Linked DNA regions of Schizosaccharomyces pombe. The gene in region 2 interacts genetically with the main gene of each other region. Each region holds a gene or a part of one and is shown on either strand. Other genes may lie near its edges.

Region 1 (4,432 bases), on a different chromosome or scaffold from region 2:
TTATTTAATTATGCTGACATGTGCACAAAATAATCACGAACATTCCCCAATTACTGGCTGTTGTTCAATAGTAGCCAAAGCCAAGGCAGAAGTAGTACTGATTAAGACAGGAGATGAAATTGATCGTACCTTTTTAACCGACCTTATCCGTTGCTTACGGAGCCTTAGAATACCAAAGAAAAGTGTATCAAATAGTTTGAAGGAGCGAGAACGCTTGACAGAAGTATGTTTCTTAATACCAGAACGGGAACGATTATGCATAGGGGTATTTAATTTTTCACTCGATATACATAACTTAGAGGGATCTTCAATGTTGACAGAAGTAGGAAGTTGCGATGGACTGCGCATATCATTTGCCTGCGCATCATTAGTGCCTTGACGGGTATAACTGGAATTTTGATGTGGAAGCATGGTAATAAATTTTAAGAAAAAGAGAAAATAAAAGTAAAATGGAAACAAATCACAATCAAAGGTGAAGTGATGGGATTAAAGGTTTTAATGAGAAAATAATTCGACAAATATGTAACAAAGGGAAACTTTTTTTTTGAATTACACGAAATGTTTTCAAACTTGAATTATGCACAAAATTAGAGAAACCTGAGAATAATAAATAAGCTTGATAATCCAAATAGCCAAGGGATTAATGGGATATAGGGTTGTAGTGATATTTCGGGTGTTTAATTTATTTAGAAATGGGTATAAAGTCCAGACTGTAAACAGAAAATAATCAGTAAACGAAATCTTTAGTGTTCCGTCCGAAAGAAGTTACCCTAACGAGATATGAAATTATGCGAACAGACGAAGTTTTAGAAGCCGACAATTGAATAAATAAAGGATCAAACTTGCTTAGTTTTATCGAAGGAAGCAAAGCAAGAGAACCGTGAGTAGGAAATAGAAAGTGAACAGTAATAAAAAAAAGTAAAACAGTAGGGAACGTTTTCTTAGAGCTTATTACAATTACGAAAAATAAAGCTTATCCCAATTGAGATAGTTAAAAAAAAAGGAACGAAATAAAACGATATGAAAGACAACAAAGGATGGAAAAACAAAAACAAACCGCTGAATGAATTAATCAAAAGAAAGCGGAAAAATTAATAAATACTCATCAATAGAGTAGCACAAGATGAAGCGAAGGGAGTAGGACAAGGCGTTAAGCCTGCGTTTAGTCTGAACAATAGATATAGACTAAAAAGTGAAAGACGGAATTTCAAAGTCTTAATTGGGGTATTCTATGTATATATACGTCCATATCTGGTAACATTTGCAAACCGTCTTTGATGTCAATTTAATAAGGAACCGAAGGTAACTTGCACACCTTGAGCAGTGACTGGGAGTAACACTCTCCTTGACATTCCCTCGGTACATAGGAGACGAATGAACCGAATGAACAAATAAACTAGATAGTTGCCCAAAAATGCACACAAAGCATTATCACTTTTATTAATTCAAATAACGACATACCAAAGTCGTAAAAGTTGGTAACAAACTCTTCAAATGATATTTCTACTATAACATTTTTCGTAGTACTTACCACTACGGGAGATTTGTAGAATCGGTATGATGCTGTGGAAGAAGAGTTATAGCGGGTTTCCTCAATGTGTACATGTTATTCTCATTGTACACTTGCATCTTAATTTTCACATTGCTCTCTCCCATCAATGATTTGCTTTGGAAAAACAACGGGAACAGAAATCTGGGAGGGAACGGAAAAGTATATTCATAGCAATCACAATTTAACGATAATTATTATGGTCAAATGAATACATATATTGAAAAGAATCGGTCAGCTGGATAGAAAATATGTAAACAGTGCAGCACTTATGAAGGTAATTTTATTTGTTTGCATCAGGTAGCAAGAGTTTTACGGGGATTAATAGAATTCGTTATATATACACTAACAATATAGGACGTAGTTTGTTATTGCTACCTAGTGTTGGGCGATACCAGCTAACGGTGTAGTGTATTTGGCTTTCTCTTTTGTGCATTCAGGGTTGTTGATTGCGAGTCTTATTCAATTTTATTCTGCCAATGCCGGGTTCACCAAGCCAAGAGCCTTTGGCAGAGGCCGAGTCTAATATGCTTCAAAGACTGGAGCAACTACAAATGCAAACATCGAATATTCTCAAGGAACTGCATTCTACGTCGATTTTCACGGATTCTACCACCTCACAACTTCATAATGGAGGTGAGAACTCTGTAATGGATACTGAGGAATCCTCGGCTATTGATAAATTAAGTGCCTCTTTACAGCAAGTAAACATTTCTTCACCATCAGTTCCTACCTCTCAATCTCGGGTTACCCAAGGCCAGTCATTAGGAAATACCCAAATATCTAATCCTACTTCAAAGACTAATAATGTACGAGCCAAAGCTCGGAATATTCGTAATCCCTCTCAACGTCTTCGACCCTCGACTAGTTTGGCCAGGTTATCAAATAACGCACCTCGCATTCCCAAAGAGGCATCACTACATGAGAATTCAATTTCTTCCAAGGAATCTCCTTCTGTAACGACCTCTAAACATGTCGCTACTATTACAAAACCTTCAACGTCGTCTATCGCCCGAATGTCCTCAAATGCTAGAATTGCTGCTATTCCGAGAGCGAAATCTTCAATGGCAGTTCGTTCACCATCACGCCTTGGTAATGGCCCGAATGTGCGCTCACCAAAGGTCGGCTTCAATGCAAAGTCGGATGATAGCCCCGTCGTCAAATCTCCTGGCTCTAACGACAAGCCTTCAGCTTCTCCTCGAATTTCTGTTCGTTCTCTCGGAAATTCTTCTGTCGTTCGTCCACCCACAAGGACTTCCACCACCCGTCCATTATCTAGAGTTAACGTAACAAATGCTTCCGGAAGTATCTCAAAGAATTCTACTAGTCCTTCCAAAGTAAAAGTCAACGCATCGACCAAGATCGTGCGTCCTGTAAGTGCAGCTCAGACTGTCCGACCGGGATCCAGAATCTTCAGAGAAAACTCTGCGTCCAATACTCAAAGACCCAACGTCTCTGCCACTTCTAACTCAACTGTTCGGGTAGCTTCTTCATTAGCTGTACGACCTGTTTCACGTAACGCGCAGGCGCGTACTCCCTCAAGATTAGAACAGAGAGAAGTTAATGTGAAAAATTCATCAGCTAAAATCGTTCGTCCAGGTACTTCTTTAGGTGTTCGTTCACCTTCTCGCATTCAATCCACTCTCTCTTCGAGGACAACTACAGGCAATGTTCGTACTAAAGCGGCTAATATCGTTCGTCCTTCTTCATCAATCAACCGTCGCCCTCCTTCGTCAATAAATCAACGCCCTCCTTCAAACTTGCGCATTTTGGCTCCATCTCGCTCGCGTGCAACAATTCATGAGAGACCAAGCAGTTCAATTTTACACAGGCATGCCCATTCACTAACTTCTTCATCCTTTTCCACTAAAACATTGGCTACAACCAAAGAAATTCAGAATTCGCCTACTTTGGTAGAGTCTTCGACAGTCGTTCATCATGATCCTTCTTATCTTCAAAACCAAACTTCCGAAATTAACGATACTAATCACTCTTCTCATTCGTCACCTTTGGACCTTAACAGAATGATATAAAAGTTGAGTGAGCTGCTGTAATTTGATGGCTTCTGTTCCATTTACACTTATTATTCTGCATAATTTATATCACATGTAGATGTTTTATCATAAGGATATTATTATTAAAAATAAGACAAACCATACGGGAAGAATTGGATGTTACGATTTGATATATTACTTTGTATTACTTAAGATCAGCTAATTAATAGCTTTTAAGCTGAAATTATGTTGCATAGGTTTATTCAGTTGAAAGCTTCACGACTGACTTGATGATAGTCGAGAAGTTTAGAGGGATGCGCTCTGTGTTAAAATTCAGCATGCAGCAACATCAGCATACAACCGATATGTAATAAATTAACATTAACAAACTGGCATTGTTTTCGTGCTCTATCAACTATCAGCAGTAAGTAATTGAAGACATTATGAAGTAAATGAGATTGCTGCATTACTAATTCATTTAGCAAAAAATTAAGTAAATAGAAGGGTTAATTTGTGCAACTTGTACGGTATATTTTGGATAGCGCAATTACGTTACGATTCATAACTGCAAGAATATCGAGCTACTCCAGTGCGCTTTCCTTAGGAAACCAAAACAATATTTTAGTACCTTTTTTTTAAATATTACTGACGAGTTTCATTCTGATTTCTTTTTATTACTCCTAACGGATGTGGCTTTAATACAATCATGTCAATGAACAGCTCAACGGAAATTTCTCAAGAGCCCTCTATAATGAAACCGGTATCTTCAGTAAGTATTTTTGCTATTTGAACTTCTGCGTACCTTGAGTCTCAGTTCTTGTATGAACTTTACTCTCAAATTAATGGTTGTTTGCGTAGTTAATTATTTTGGATTTATTGTTAAATCGTT
Region 2 (4,565 bases):
GGAAAATCCCAAATTCTCCTAAAGCTGAAGTTGACACAGAGCTGGAGAAAAAGATAAAGCAATTTATAAAATTAAAGGCAAAGGGCATTCATTTTCATACGAGACTATCAGAAAATGAAAATTTCAGAAACCCAAAGTTACTTGATAATTTGCAGGATTTTCTGGATATTAAGGAGCCAAGAGGAACTATGATATCTAAGGATATGTGGGATCCAACGGACTTTCATAAAAACGTCTATGCATCCGCACTCTCTAAATCACAGGATGAAATGATTGCCAGGCGTGAAAATTACCAAAAGCATGATAGAACTGAAATTAAATTTCAAACCTCTCAACATCCTAAATAAATTTGAGTATCAAAAGATAATGTGTTTGTAAAAATAATTTCGTTACCGAATATATATAAGACTACTTAATTTAATACCTTAGCCTGTTATGAATAAATGATCCAGAAATGCCAATTTTGATAAGACATTTATATGGCTAGTAGCTTAAGTCATTAGTTTACCCTAGTCAATTTTCAAAAATAATAATTGTTATTATAATAATTTTAACTACCGATAGAACAAAAAAGCCTTTCATGAAGAGAATCAGAACCGTAAATAATAAATAGCATCACTTTTAACTATTCGAAATTACTGATTGAAGAAGTTGTCGGAGCCAATTCCTGCAAAGAAACCAAAACTAAATGCAAAAACCTCCGAAGACTCCAGTAGCCAACTTTCTGAATTCGTTTTCTTCGTATCTCTTGATTTAATACATCTCGAGCAAACGATTCATACACCTACATCAAAAATTAGTATTTATTAATATTCAAAAGCGTAAATTACTCTTAAATTTTAGGAAAAGACGCTCTTTTATAGTAAGGAACAGGGTAGAACTTACCTGCGCCGAAATTTCTTGTAAAACACCACTGTCGTAAAAAGTCCAGCTTCCATCAAAGTCAGAAAGCGGTTTTGATACATGACAAAGAATAGGGATGAATGTCCGTGTGGAATTAATGTAAGCAATAATAGGTCGAATTAAAGCATTGTTGATATAGCTTACTTGATTTGTAAAAATAGGAATTACGGCTTTGGGATTATGTAATTGCACATTAACATCAAAGTGAACGTCTTTGTAAACATCCTCATCTTTTTCTTTCTTTTTCAATTTGTCCATCAAACTTATCCACGCTTTTTGGAAAGAATTTTCCGAAGGTTCTGATGGAAAAGAAATATTAACTAAAAAATCAACACTGCCATCATTAATCCATCCAAATGCTCCCGAAACACCTCGATTTAGATGATCGATTGCGACATTATCAATACGCAAGCGACTATGTCGCATATCATCGAGTTGTTTACCGACTTTTAGGTACGGTGAATATGGACGAAGTTGTAATCGATGAATAGTAAACATACTATTATCAAAGCTTCCGGTGAGAGTCTTAGCATTCATTAAATCATAAAATAACCATTGTTTTCTAAGCCTAGGAAGCTCACAAAAGAAAACACTAACGGGGAACTTCCGAAAACCTTTAGGTTGTAATAAAGTAACACGCAAATCCTCTAGCTTAAATTTTTCGATTTCAAAATCCCCCCAGTTGTGTTTACGACGGTAATCACGAGGATCGGAGGATGGATCCCATTCAATAAACCGTCTATCAACTACACCTCTAACACCTTTCAGCTGAAGTTCCTTAACAATCCCTTTACCATTTAAAAACCTAGCAAAGCTAAACGAAACATCTGCCTTATCAATGGATAACTCAAATTGAGTATAGTTTCCCTGACTCAGAGCCTCAGTGTCAGGTTCCTCATTAGAATCATAACGTTTTCGTAAAGCCATGTACTCTTTTTCATAATCAGACTTATTATTCGGATTTTGTGCTCCAATGCCATTCAAAGTATCAGGTCTTCTAATTACGGAAATTTTGTTGAATGTGATTAATCCTTTCCTCCAATTGGGAACAATTGCGCTTTCAAAGACGAATTGGAACCCTGTATTTTTTGTCATTAACTGACCAATCCATCTTCCTAATAGTTCCTGTGCAGAAACAGTGTTTAAGGTGTACAATAACAATGAAAAAAAAGTTGTTGTACCAACTACGATCCAAACTATATGGCTCACAAGCCACCAACTGAAAAAGGCAGTAACATTATCCACTGTTAAGGGTTTGTTTTGCTTAAAAAGAAAGCTTTTCATTTTTTTTAATACGCGAAATGGCATTGCCCTTTTAACGCCGGAAGATTGATTTGATTCATTTTTGTTGAGAATCTCAGGGTTTTCAACATCTCCAGACGAGTAACTTCTAACCATAGATATTTGCTTAATAATTACAGGTGTAGTACGGGACAATATCCCACTGTTTGAAATATTCCTAGCTGCTAGTCTAGGAAGAGTAGGAAAACTCTTGAAGCTGCTAGATTGCAAAACGGTTTGCTTGAGTAAGGCATTTTGAGTAGAAGCACGAACATGATAAGAAATTAAATAGGGCTTACGGGCCTGAACAATCCTTGCTATATTCTTCGCAAGTCGTGATTCGAGCATCAACTTATGAGGTCAAATAAATAATACCTTCTCGAAAAGCACAATTAGTGTATATAATTACAGTCAAGACAAATTATTCTATATATGCTTCTGTTTTAAAGAAATAAACTGCCTGTAATGATATATTATAAAAGTTTCAATGCCTTTCCTGTATATGGTTGTCTGCAGAAAGAAAATAGGAGAATAACTAGCAAAGTTTACACTAAAATCTTTAGCTAAGATGGCAAAATATATAGAAAATAACGATGATCCATTCCAAATTATTATATATGCTTCTGAGTATACACTTTATAAATCAGATGTTTTGTACGAATGAGATGACATCGAATTATTACATACTTTGCTTAATTATAACAATTAGCTAACTAGCTGACTATAAAGCAACAACTGTATACACATTTTATACTAACTGCCTGCATTAACTACTAAAATTTAATTATGCTGGTTGAGTTATTAAGACTATTGCGCTTAGTTTGAATAGAATTCCAATTCATGTCCAAGGCATTAAGAAGCCGCCAAAAAGCATACTGTTATAGTAGTATTTAGCTTCTGAATATAACTTCACCGAGTTCTTTTCAAGATAAAATTAATTTTATCTTTACTTACATATTCCAATTCTTTATTTTCGTTAATTTCATCTGGCAATTTTAATGTTGTTGATGCAACGGCTAAATAGACAAAGAAAAGTTGAGATTTCATTTTCGTTATCTATGATATATGCGTTATGCCTGTTAAAAATATTTACAGAATCACAATCCATTTTTAACTGAATTAATGGACGCAAATTATGTATTAAATGTCTAGGTCTTATGCACACCAAGGTAGCATGCGTGCAACATGAATGTTACAATATGTTTCTCGCAAAAAGCTATTTGATTACTTCTTTTTGTTTTTTCTTCGATAGTTGAACTCTATTTATGTCACCTGGCCTTTGCTTCCTAAAAGAAATTTCAGTCATACAAGCTACACCAAAGCCTACTACAAGAAGTTTTGCCAATTGTTGTAAAATGGGAATTCTACAGGTATATAACGATTAGTTGATTTTTTATGAATATATTTGGGGTTTAAAACTTTGTATTAACGTTTTTATAGCATTTGATGCACATTTTAGACATTCCAGGCTTCCCTTGGAAAATAGTAATTGCTGGATTTTCTATTGGAAAGTATGCCTGGGATTTGTATCTTCGTCGCAGGCAAGTGCCATATTTGTTGAGAGAAAAGCCTCCTGCTATTTTAGCTGAACACGTTGATGAAAAAAAGTACCAAAAAGCATTGTCTTATGCTCGTGATAAAAGTTGGTTTTCTACTATTGTTTCCACATTTACTTTAGCCGTTGATCTTTTGATTATTAAATATGATGGACTTTCATACCTTTGGAATATCACTAAGTTTCCTTGGATGGATAAATTAGCTGCTTCATCCTCAAGGTTTAGTCTATCGACTTCGATTACGCATTCCTGTGTTTTCATGTTTGGACTTACTCTGTTTTCTCGTTTAATTCAAATTCCTTTCAATCTTTACTCAACCTTTGTGATCGAGGAAAAGTATGGTTTTAATAAATCGACTTTAAAGATCTTCGTAATTGATCTTTTAAAGGAATTAAGCCTTGGTGGTTTACTTATGAGTGTTGTCGTTGGTGTTTTCGTTAAAATTTTGACCAAGTTTGGTGATAATTTTATTATGTATGCATGGGGTGCCTATATTGTTTTTGGCCTCATTTTACAAACTATTGCTCCTTCTCTAATTATGCCCTTGTTTTACAAGTTTACACCGCTTGAAAATGGAAGTCTTAGAACACAAATTGAAGAGTTAGCTGCCAGTATCAATTTTCCCTTGAAGAAGCTTTATGTGATTGATGCTAGTCGTAGATCAACTCACTCCAACGCTTTCTTTTATGGGCTTCCATGGAACAAAGGAATTGTACTTTTTGATACTCTTGTGAAAAATCATACGGAACCGGAACTTATTGCAATTCTTGGTCACGAACTTGGTCATTGGTACATGTCTCATAATTTAATTAATACTATTATAGA

What was found.
Region 1: mutations in mdm31 (region 2) and mmb1 together harm fitness more than expected from each alone (negative genetic interaction), as found in Schizosaccharomyces pombe (one large-scale study listed by BioGRID).

What each region holds. Positions count from the first base shown.
Region 1 is NC_003423.3:2,608,188-2,612,619, reverse strand, and holds mmb1 (mitochondrial microtubule binder Mmb1), read left to right. Parts: upstream 1-1,979; 5' UTR 1,980-2,076; coding exon 2,077-3,582; 3' UTR 3,583-3,932; downstream 3,933-4,432. Other genes in the region: SPOM_SPBC25B2.08 (uncharacterized protein), read right to left, coding at 34-411; BTB/POZ family ubiquitin-type ligase substrate adaptor Btb2, read left to right, coding at 4,250-4,312. UniProt on the Schizosaccharomyces pombe protein: Involved in the cell polarity process and in regulation of microtubule growth. Has a role in meiosis. Involved in microtubule dynamics.
Region 2 is NC_003424.3:1,935,451-1,940,015, forward strand, and holds mdm31 (protein Mdm31), read right to left. Parts: upstream 2,699-4,565; 5' UTR 2,533-2,698; coding exon 886-2,532; intron 785-885; coding exon 626-784; 3' UTR 513-625; downstream 1-512. Other genes in the region: mug151 (transcriptional regulator HCNGP-like protein), read left to right, coding at 1-347; ste24 (putative CAAX prenyl protease), read left to right, coding at 3,540-3,554, 3,625-4,565. UniProt on the Schizosaccharomyces pombe protein: Involved in the organization of the mitochondrial membranes and the global structure of the mitochondria. Also required for mitochondrial distribution and mobility as well as for the maintenance of mitochondrial DNA nucleoids structures.